3 linked regions of the Xenopus tropicalis genome follow. The protein of the gene in region 2 purifies or fractionates together with the protein of the main gene of each other region. This does not show direct contact. Links are inferred from orthologs where the notes say so. Each region holds a gene or a part of one and is shown on either strand. Other genes may lie near its edges.

Region 1 (3,654 bases), on a different chromosome or scaffold from region 2:
CATTTAAAATGGTCTAGCTTCAGCTGTTGAACTGAGTTGCAGTAGATGGTTGTCTTTCGCCGAACACTCAGCTGCTTTATATGTCATTAGATTCAAGTTCTTCCTACATGATCCGCCCAGCCTGATTTTTATTTTTTTTCTTCAACAAGTTGGGCAAGCATTAGACTTCAAATTCCCATTAGTCCTTTTTCATTGTCATCTGTATTGAATTGCACATGGGTTCTCTGTTTCATGACCTAAAACGGCACAGTTTTTAGGTTATAGTGCAGCCAACTGTTATATTTTGGGGTATTATTCAGTAACTGTTTTGTATTTCACCTGAACCTGAAACTTCACAAGCTTCAGTTATTAAAAAAACAAATTTCTGGAGTTTGTAGCTTAAGACCCTCTGACAGAGGAAAATCCATTGATATTTCAGTAAGAATGTAAACACAACAATATACACTTTTTTAGAAATGGCAATGATATTGTAGACTTTCTTAGATGTGACCGTTTATTTTTGTAATGCATGACTTACCTGTATACTTATTGTCCTGTGTTTTGCAGCTAATTTTGGGAGAATACAAATGGCTTAGCTATGAAGAAGTAAGCTTAAGAGTGCACCATCTTGGGAGTGGCCTGTCTGCCTTAGGTTTGAAACCAAAGAGCACAATTGCAATATTTTGTGAGACCAGAGCAGAGTGGATGATTACTGCACAGGCATGCTTTAAATACAATTTTCCCTGTAAGTATTTTAAGTGTTTAACCTTTCACATTGTTCCAAGGAAAACCCTGAATCATTTCTCATCATACTTCTGTTAGTTTTGCAAGCTTTTCTGGCTGCTTAAAATAAAAGGTCTGCCCTTTTTCTGGGACATGCTCCATTTAAAAGCATGTATTGATAGCTTTCTCACTTGTGGGACAGCAATTTGAAGAAGACAAATATTTTTCCATAGGCGATCAACTTAGTAGCAAAAAGATAATGTTTGAATGAAGACTCTCCTAGAAAAGACCGGCCTGGCCTTTTGTTTTAATCAACTGTGAGATTTAAATATTTTACATAAGGTTTACTGCCCCTTTCTAAACTGGTGTATTGGTATATTATTATGTCATCATCATTCTTGATTCTTAACTAAACGGAGATGTTATCTGTCTCCACTTATTTACTCTTGTCAAAAGGATAGGCTAGTACTGGTTTTAGCAAGTGCAACAGAAACTGTAACGTGCAAGACAATCCTTCCCCTCCCTAAGTGCATGCATGAATGAATGACTGAATGCATAGCAGGCATGTTTGCGGTACAAAAGCCAAGCTGCTTTGCTAGAATATAACTTAAGAAGGCCATACACTATATGATTCTGTCATTTGCCAAGGTCACCAATTATAGTTGCATTAGCCTATCCGGCAAGTAGAAGAATTTGCACTGTTTTTAAGAAAATTGCCCCTATATGTAAAAAAAAAAAAGGCACAAAGTTTGCCCTGGTGCAGTAATCCACATCAACCAAGTTTGCTTCTTATACAGATAACAAGTAAATGCTACCTGGTGATTGCCATTAGTGACTTGACCTGTAGAAAACTTTGTGCATTTTGTTTACGTAACCCCTATAATGTACCATGATGGAGTAGAAAATATTATTGGATCCCACGTAAGGCATTACGTGATTCCATTTAGGGCCACCACTGCACACTTTCAGGGCCCCCAAAAGAACTACCTTGTGATATATTTATTTCTGTTACCTTATTGTCACATAAATGTTACATTTCTTAAAGAATGGAATGGTAGGAAATTGTATATATTCAGCTGTTCTTGAGGCTGGGCTGCTTGCAGTAATTCCACTCCCTCCTTATAGAGTGTCTAGACTTGTCTCCTCTTACTGTTGTGTGCCACTTTAGTTTTTCACTGGTTTTGCTAATACTGAAACATATATGGCTAAGGTATAGATGCGGAAGCCACAGTGTTATGAGCGTGCTAGTAAGGGAATAATGAGCAGATGTAATTTGTAGAGGTTGATGTGCCACGAGATGTCCCATATCTGATGTAATATTGGGTAAGTTTGCAGGCTTTACTGAAGAGGCATGTTTTAATGGAAGGGGAGTATCCAAAGTCACAGGGTAATGAATTCCAAGATTTTGCAATAGTTTTAGTGGGAGATGATTAATAAGTGGACTGGTATTCTGCTTGTTTTCTAACTCTGAAAGGAGCATATTTTTGAAATGCTTAAGATGTAGCTGGCATTTATAATTCCAATATTGCGAACCAGCGTGCCAGATTAAATGATTGTGTTGTTCACTATAACAGACAACACTTGGGGGTAGGGTATGTGTCACTGCTTTCCAGATTATTTGCACTGCCTGTGTCCTGTTACCCACTATAACATTTTGCTGACTAGCTAAGCCACAAAACTTGCAAACTTGTTTTATATAGAGGAAGCTAAAATTCCCTAGACTTCCCCATATTATTAACGTTCATTTGCAGATATGTATTTCCTGTATATCCCCAACATCACCCCTCCTGGTTCCTGACTGCCCTGCCCGGGCAAAAAACCATAGTATTTGTTTTTGACTGAGGCATTTGTACTGTAGAGCAGTATAATATCTCGGAATTTATTTTATCTACTGGGCCCACTGAAGTGTGGCCTTCCTCAGTGCCAGGCTGAAGCCCCAAGCAGCTGTATTGAAAATAGCAATTTGGAAGAGATGTCTGACATTTGAAGGATGTATTGTATAAAAGCTGTTAAGAGCCTGGCAAGCATTATCCTATTTTACATTACTTTAAATTTATTATTACATATAAATTGTTTTTAATCCTAACAGTGGTGACTTTGTACGCAACACTTGGAGAAGAAGCAGTAGCATATGGCTTAAATGAATCTGGAGCAAGCTATCTCTTTACCAGTGCTGAACTTCTAGAGACTAAGTTGAAGGTGTGTATAGATACTTCTGCATATTCCTTACAGTAAAACACCCAGGATAAGAAAACAAACAGAAACCCACCAATACATATTTTTACTTCCGTACCTGAAGCACTGTCTGTATTTTTCTTTGCATTTTCAGAGTGTTCTTTCACAAGTCACAGGCCTTAAGCATATCATTTATGTTGGCAAGAAAAACATAAGCAAAGCAGAATATCCTGCCAGCCTGGAGATCCATAACATAGAAGCAGTGGAGGAATTGGGAGCCAAACAAGAGAACTGTGAGTATGGCTCCATGCTGCCAAAAATATATTTTGTTTTTAAATCTTCACCTTTAATTGTACTTTAAAATCAGAAACATGTCTATATTACAAGTTACTAATCCAAGCTTTTTCTATCTCCAAGTTTTTGTTTTTTTTTGCTGTAGAGCTGATTGTCCCAGAATTTGAGTTTAGATTCTCCTTTACTATCTAGGAATTCGCCAGACAGCCTTGTGTTTCCACCATATTGCAATTAGTCATTGGGAGGTGATCAGCCACCCAGGAAGTAATAAGGGCCCTCTCCCTTCCATGTATTTTTATCCTGGTGCTTCTAATTGCAGTCATTGGGAAGCAACTGTGACGTTTTAATGGTGGTGATGATGATCAATACGCCTTGTGTACCTTAGTTGCATTTAAAGTGAATCTGACACTTTAATTACTTGAATGTGTGCTTTGCAACTACATATAACAAAAAAACATAAAACCTGTTTGCAAGGGAATTCAA
Region 2 (4,211 bases):
CTTGCTGACAATACGCCACATACGGTTAAAATCCTCCTACTTGTGCCTGCACCAGCAATGAATACACTCGGGTGCAGGTACATGTAGCCTATATCCAGAATACTTTGCATTTTCGGCAGATATCGGCTACATGTGCCCGCACCTGATTATATTCAATGCATTCAGGTGCAGACACAGGTAGGAGGATTTTTAATCCTATGTAGCGTAATCTCGTCAAGCGGATTTTGGCTTGCCAAAAACATGCTCCACACGGTATGTGTAACATTAGCCTATTCTCACCCTCTTTAAATAAAAACTTTATCTATAACTTTATCAAAAGTAAATAAACTAAAACTTATTTACCTGGTATATAGCTCCCTTGTTCCATCAATTTCTACTTTTAAGCAGAAATGTAGTAAATGGTGCCAGGTTTGCTGAGGTCATATAACCCATACATAGCAACCAGCCATCTGTTGGCTAACTGCAATTATAATCTTACAATTGCTTTGTCTTGGGTTACCAGACTAGGCAAATGTTTGGTTTTCTACAAATTTGGTGAAAACACACTTTAAAGTGGGTGGAGTCTTAAGGGCGTTACTCGGGCCGCAAATCCTTCCCACCTGGCCCCCCATCCAAAAACATTTTCTGCTGCCCCTGGCCAAAAGTACAGCAAAGCTGCTCCCATCCTAGCGATACTTACAGGATAAAGGCTCTTCTGTAGTTGTTTCAGTCACACTGGGATGGGGGAAGCGTGATCCTTCCATAGGCTTACTACAAGTAAAAACAGTACTCCAGTCTATGGAAGGATTGTGCTTCCTCCAGCCCAGCGTGACTGATTCTCAGACTATTTTTTATAGCCTATCTTATAATATTCATTTAAATTCTCTTGCTTTATGATAGTTCTGTTACTTGGATGTCGGACTCACTAATTCCTGCCCTGGGCCCATTGGTACCTTAAAGCAGCCCTGCCCCGGTATGGTCAACTAAACATGCACTGATGCTGAAGCAGGGAGGACGAAGGGAGAGGCATGTTGTAGCTGCTTGAAATGTGGCCATGGAGAAATAATAGAGCGGCGCACAATATTTATGGATATACTCAAGGCTGTGCTAAAGGGGATTGGGACACTTTTATCTTACCTTTCCTAGATGATGTTTCTGTTGTTCCTGCTACTTGGTCCCTGACATACACTTGGTTTCTCTTGCTTTCCTCCTTCTACTGCAGACCCTCCTCCACTCCCCCTTTTTATCAGTGCTAAGCCTTCATTCCTCCTCCCAGTTTCCCACCCCTTCAGGATGCAATTGTTCCCTTCCCCTCATCCCTCACACAGCCCTCCCCTCCCTGCTCTCCCTCCCTCCCTCATCTCCCTTACCATGCTGTCTCTTGCAGGCTGCCAAACAAAAGGCCCTCATGGGGCCTCGCTAGCAACTTCAAGCTTGTCTAATATGTAGAGACTCCTCCTTACAGGATTCTCTCTTTCCCCCGGCGTCTGGCTGGTGAATAGCTGCTATATTCTTTGGATACCACAGGAGGGGCCTCTTCAGCGATTCCTATTTCTCCAGTACTCTATGGTCAGCCCATGCACTAGCCGGGAGCACACAGGATACTTGCATTGGCAGCAGCAGCAGCAGCAACTGTGAGGCTGCAGTACCAACACCGGCTGTGTGTGTCCTGTAGCTGCTAGGGGGGAACTTAGTGCATCACAACAGATTCCCCTCTCTTCTTATCATTGGCAAGTATAATGATTTCCTCTCCTGTGGGCAGTGTAGCAAACGTGTAGGCTATTGGGATGGGATGGGATCTGCAAACAGGAACGTACAGATGCCACACAAGTGACGGACTGCTGGCTCCCCACCTGCACATGTAATGCTCCCTGAGGTATCCGGCCGGAGCATCCCTGTGCGCTCTGACTGTGCGACAGGATTGTTGTGGGATGTACTGATACAGAACTGAGGTGCTTCTGGCAAGTCAGACTTTTATGCTAGCTGCAAATGAAGAAAGTGGTGGGACCGTGCGGTATAATCACGTATGTACATTATGTTGATGTTAAAGTGCTATTATACATATATTTATAATTGTAATATACATATATTTATAATACATATAGATAAAGGTTTGTGTGTTAGGTATATGTGTGTATTTGCTATTACAAGCTTACTTTATTCAATTATTGTAATTATAGATTATTATGCCAAGAACCTGGCATACACAACACCACATTATTGCTTTACTGCCCTGACTTTCAACCAACCTTGTGGTATTAAACCCACAGCTAACACTCAGTATGTGACTTTGTGGCGCTAGGAAGTATAGCCAGAAATGGTTTGTTTGTACAGGTACATTCTATCTGTATATCTCATCTAACATCTCTGTCACTGTTTGCTTGATTTCTCATTTCCAGAGCTACACATTTGAGTAGAATTATATTTTTGTAAAAAACATAACAACCCATTTCTCTGGATTTGCTGTTCTCAGTACTAAAATAATTGGCATTTGTGTATTTTGGTAAAACAAGGAATTGCATAGGTATGAGATCTGTTATCCACAAAGCTGATCTAGTATCAACAAAACTGTTACCAACTTTAACCAAAAGCAAATTATTTTTTGTTTATGAATGATTTGCTTATCCTTTCTAATAAGACAACAGTATGTTGTGCTTAATGTCAATTATGCTAGCATAAATCCATGTTAATGGAAAACCATTTCTATTGGTTATTTTAAAATATAAATTTTCTTTGTAGCCTTAAGGAATGGTGCTCTATATTATGGAAATATCCCTTATCCAGAAACCCAGGTTGTAAGTATTCTGAATTATAGGTAAAACAGAAAATGCACAGTTGTACTTCCTAAATTTTGAATTCATGTCTGAATTGTATATTTTAGTATAGGTATGAGATCCCTTATCCGGAAACCCGTTATACAGAAAGCTCCGAATTACGGAAAGCCTGTCTCCCATAGACTCCATTTTAATCAAATAATTCAGAATTTTAAAAAGGATTTCCTTTTTCTCTGTAGAAATAAAACAGTACCTTGTAATTGATTCCAACTAAGATATAAATAATCCTTAATTAATTGATTTTTTAGTAGAGGTATGGAGATCCAAATTATGGAAGACCCCTTATCCTTAATACCCTTGGTCCCGAGCATTCTGGATAATGGGTCCTATACATGTACACCATTGGGATGCATGTTATTGTGCATGTATGGGATCTCTTATCAATGAACTTACAGGAAGAAATTACAGGAAGGCCATATCCAATAAGATCAATTTTAAGCAAATAATTCTAATTCTGTTTATGCTTTCTCTGTAATGTAGCTTGTACTAGCTGATGACTAAGCTGTACGAATCTATATTAGTGGCATAACAATCCTGTTGGGCTTATTTAATGTTTGAATTTTTTAGTAGACTTGAAATTATGGAAAAACCTGAAAAAAAGGTCTCAGTATTCTGGATAATAAATAAAATAGTAGTAATTATAAAATACTACAGTTCCTATATGAATGGTTCATACTGGACCAGTTCTGAACTATTTTTCAGAGTTCCTAATCTCTGAAGAGTAGGCTATAAGAATATCATTTGTAGCAGACAAGGGAAGCTGAACTATTTTTACAAGGAACTACTTTCTGAATAATATCTCTCATTGCTACAATTCCCTCCTGCCTCCTCCTCACATCATTGTTGTGTGCCCAGTTTAAAAGATTTTTTTCTTACATTCTAGATTATTGTGTTTTGGAGAGCAACATATTTATTTACTTTTTTGTAGGTGAAGTTAGGCTTTACATAACTAAATTCCTTTCTGGACTTATAATCTCCTATTTGGCATAACTAGGAAGCTGCTTACATTGCTGTGATTGTCGACCCCTGTTGTAGTCTTAGAATGATCTGTCTCTAGTGCGCATGCCTGGGGAGCTGATCCCTGTGACTAAAAAGAGGTCATAAGATGGTATATGTGGACACAACTGCAGAGCTCTGCATTCTTGCCACTAATACAAAATGCTTTATTTAAGGGTAGTGACCTTGTAGGAATAGGGAATAAAAAAAAAAGATCTATTATTTGATTTGTAAATACTGACTAGCTGGATTAGGATCATACATGCTAGATGAGAGTTAACAGAGGGGTAAAGAAAAAAGACATTGACAAATACATTTATGGGATACTTTATACAGAAAGCTCTAAATTATGGAAAGGCCATCTCTCGCAGAGTACATTTTAAGCAAATAATTCTAATATTC
Region 3 (3,654 bases), on a different chromosome or scaffold from region 2:
TGGTATAGAGGAAACCTGAAGCTACTGCTACCTCTGGACCAAATGGTGGGTCCAAGGTTTCCTCAGAGCCCTGGCGTCTAAAGAATTGAGTGTACATGTGACTCTTATGCTGAATGCCAGAAATTAAGTCAACCTGGCTTGGAAAACATTCATTGCAGTTGTGTCCAGTTTACTGAGAAGTTTCAGTGCAATTGCGTTAATTATAACTTATTGGTACACTGTAAGATTCTTGTTTGGTGAGCTCACCAAGCGAGCAGATCTTCTCCCGATATGCCCGCCTTTGGGTGGGCAATATTAGGCCAATTTGGCCGTTTGGCTCTAGGGACGAAAAATTGAATTCAAACAGTGGGCATAACCACCTAGTGCTGGGCGGTATACCGGTTTAACCGGTATACCAGTTTTTTTAAAAAAAAAACTATATGAATTTTCAACATACCGCTATACCGGTATGCGCGCCTCCTGCTATTTTTCTCCAATTATATCCGGGTTGCGCCCGTGCGTACGTGACGTCAGCGCGCACGCGACGTCGCTAGGACGCATCGCTGGAGGGCTTAAGTGATGGTGTGTTTGTTATAGAAGGCTGGGTTGATAAATAGTTCATTTATGCACATTGCCTCCTGGTGGTGAATTTATGCAACTTTTCTCTATTGTATTTAACATACTTTCTGCCTAAAGTTTTAATTACGAGCCATCTTTGGTTCTGTTATTTGTTGCACTGATCAGTACAGAACAGTGACATTGATAGCACTTTCATTTCACAAAAATGTAGTTAAATTAACAACCACAATGAATCCAGATTTGAACATGAAAACGCTATGCATTTTAATCCAGGAATCTGCTCTGTATGTGTGCTGACTGGCTGATTTCTTGCCTGTCAGGACGCACATCCAGGGAGTGAATTATATATAAGTATCTCTAATATAGAAGATATAAATTATCTGGTTGGGGGGGGCCCACCAATATTTATTATTTATTATTTATTTTTTATTTATATACCGTCAAATACCGTGATACCGATATAATTTTGAAAAATACCGTGATATAAATTTTTGGTCATACCGCCCAGCTCTATAACCACCATCAGTTTGGGGACTGATCCAGATCCTATGCAGTCCCCGATTCAATGGAAAAATCAAACCTGCCTGATTGAGAGCTGGCCAATTTCAGTACAGTTCAGTCAGGGGCTCCGCAGGCAGATAAGCTGGCGAACCATTGTAAAGGACTGGTATCAGCAGCTGAAATCGCCCAGTGTATGGCCACCTTGAAAAACCGATTCGAGAAACTCAGAATACTCAGCTCTAGTGCTAGAAAGGAAAAGGTAGAGGAAGCAAGCTTCTAGGCTGTTTAATATCTCAAAAACTACAGGAAAAGGATAATGAACAGATTTGTAAAACAGATTTGTTTTTTTAGTACTCTGTTTTAGTTTTACAGTGCATTCAACAGATTTAGCAATAAAAAGAGTGTTCTATATTTCACTTGAATTTCCTTAATGATGACATTATCAGGAACTGGATGAATCTCCGAGATGCAGAAACTGGGAAAATTTTGTGGCAGGGTACAGAGGACCTGTCGGTTCCAGGGGTTGAACACGAAGGTAATGTATTATGCTCAGTTAATGTTGTTTCATTGTGTCATAACAGTTATACTACTCAAATACAAGGGAATAACAAATGGTATAGACAGCATATTTCATAGATTTCAAAGGCATATGAATTAGTATTTCTTTATGAAACACTCAAAAACATTAACACACTGACAGGTCACCAGAGAATTGGTATAGCCGTTAGTAAATTAATAATGGATACATGCAAGCAAACGTGTAACAGCAGGCATGTAGATCCATTCCTGGTGGATACAGAGGTATTGTTTCATTGTTCCATTTAGCTTCACAGTAATGCAGCAGGGTTTCAAGTATTCAAAGGAATATGTTTTTTACCCCGGGCTGGTGCCCCTGTACGGAGAGAACAGCACCAGCCCGGGGTAGCTGCAGCGCTTCCTCCTTCCTTTATCGCTGCGTGCTCATGCGCAGTAGAGTGAAAAGCTGAACTTTAACAGAGAAGTCGGCTTTTCACTCTACTGCGCATGCGATTGTCCGGGACAAACAGCAGCAGCGCGAGTAGGAAGGAGGAAGCGCTCGCTACAGCTACCCCGGGCTGGTGCTGTTCTCTCCCAACAGGGGCACCAGCCCGGGGTACAAGGTAAGCAATTAAAGTCACTTGGGGGTGCCTAACATTTTGGCACCCCCAAGTGACTTTGCCTTTCCTTCTCCTTTAAAGGGGTGGATCACCTTTGTGAATATTCCCAGCAACTTTGCAGTTGGTGGTCTTATTTCTTTTTTTATAGTTTTAAAAATTCTAAATTGTTTGTCTTCCACTTCTATGTCTTTTTTTTTTTTAGCTTTCAAATGGGTTCACAGACCCCAACAGCAAGACACTATTGCTCTGTGAGCTTACAGTTTTATTATTGTTGTTACTAATCTTTCTCTTCTGTACCTCTTATTCGTATTACAGGCTTTTTTTTTTAATCCACTGCCTGGTTGCTAAGGTAAACAAAACCATAGCAATCTGCTGCAGAAATTACAAAACCTGAGCGCTGCTAAACAAAAAGCTGAATAGCGGAAAACCACAAAGCAAATGATGGCCAATTGCAAATTGCCTTAGAATATCACTGTTTGCATCATACTAAAAGTTAAAGGTGAACAACCCTTTTATGTAAGAGCTAGTAAAAGCTCATAAAATGCAGAAGGTTCTCCTTTAAAACACTTTCCAGTCTTCAGAAGCTATTTCCCAGTGATTTTGATAGGGACTTGGTTATATCACAATACATAGTTTGTTTAAGTTCTTCTCTGTTTTTGCAGCTCGAGTACCAAAGAAAATTTTAAAGTGTAAAGCTGTTTCTAGGGAGCTAAATTTCTCTTCTGCGGAGCAGATGGAGAAGTTCAGACTTGAACAGAAAGTATACTTCAAAGGTCAATGTCTAGAAGGTAAGCAGAATTCTAAATATAAGTGGCAAGATCTAGTCATTGGCAGAAGATGTTAATATGTACATTTACCTAGGCTCAGGATAGTCTCTCATGCTGCAGAACTTCTACAACTTTAGCATGGAAATGGTGGTACTTTTTACCTTAAAGGTGATGTAAACCCCAAAAATATGAAAGAAAATGGTAAGTTGGTACAGCAGTAAACAATATTATGATAAAGGATGTCCTGCACAAGTAGGCGAACAGACCGTGGTGAGAGATCCTTTCTACCCTACATTGTTTCCAAGCTTGTAAAATCATAATAGCCATGTTTCTTAATGTGTATGTGGTATGAAGTAAGGTTGATAGTTTTTATAAAACGATTCTTTATTTGGGATGTTAGATGCTATGTGTTTTATAGGGGGCTTCTAGTTGTACCCATCTCTTTTTTTAGTATGAAGAAGGGGGCAGTGTGTAGTGTGTCAGAGATATGCTTTGTTGTAGGGAATTAGCTTTGAAAGAAAAAAATCCTCCATTTTACCTATGGGCTTTGCATTGTGTGTTAATGCAGAGGGACCTGCAATGACTCTACTACTTGATACAAAAAGCCTTGGCAGTGAGGTCATATATCCTCATTCTTCTCCCAGCTCCTGAAATATGTAGGTCATGTCTTATAAGCTGAGCAAGGGTCTCAA

The links.
Region 1: the proteins of fbxo10 (region 2) and acsl4 purify together in Homo sapiens (affinity purification with western blotting; 3 studies listed by BioGRID, with this or other methods). This does not show direct contact. The link is inferred for Xenopus tropicalis from reciprocal best matches to the Homo sapiens genes FBXO10 and ACSL4.
Region 3: the proteins of fbxo10 (region 2) and retinal rod rhodopsin-sensitive cGMP 3',5'-cyclic phosphodiesterase subunit delta purify together in Homo sapiens (affinity purification with mass spectrometry; 3 studies listed by BioGRID and IntAct, with this or other methods). This does not show direct contact. The link is inferred for Xenopus tropicalis from reciprocal best matches to the Homo sapiens genes FBXO10 and PDE6D.

What each region holds. Positions count from the first base shown.
Region 1 is NC_030684.2:51,167,153-51,170,806, reverse strand, and holds part of acsl4 (long-chain-fatty-acid--CoA ligase 4), read left to right. Parts: intron 1-546; coding exon 547-724; intron 725-2,791; coding exon 2,792-2,901; intron 2,902-3,031; coding exon 3,032-3,170; intron 3,171-3,654. UniProt on the Homo sapiens protein: Catalyzes the conversion of long-chain fatty acids to their active form acyl-CoA for both synthesis of cellular lipids, and degradation via beta-oxidation. Preferentially activates arachidonate and eicosapentaenoate as substrates.
Region 2 is NC_030677.2:109,017,660-109,021,870, forward strand, and holds the start of fbxo10 (F-box only protein 10), read left to right. Parts: upstream 1-1,263; 5' UTR 1,264-2,003; intron 2,004-4,211. UniProt on the Homo sapiens protein: Substrate-recognition component of the SCF (SKP1-CUL1-F-box protein)-type E3 ubiquitin ligase complex. Mediates the ubiquitination and degradation of BCL2, an antiapoptotic protein, thereby playing a role in apoptosis by controlling the stability of BCL2.
Region 3 is NC_030681.2:101,158,377-101,162,030, reverse strand, and holds part of retinal rod rhodopsin-sensitive cGMP 3',5'-cyclic phosphodiesterase subunit delta, read left to right. Parts: intron 1-1,505; coding exon 1,506-1,594; intron 1,595-2,857; coding exon 2,858-2,983; intron 2,984-3,654. UniProt on the Homo sapiens protein: Promotes the release of prenylated target proteins from cellular membranes. Modulates the activity of prenylated or palmitoylated Ras family members by regulating their subcellular location.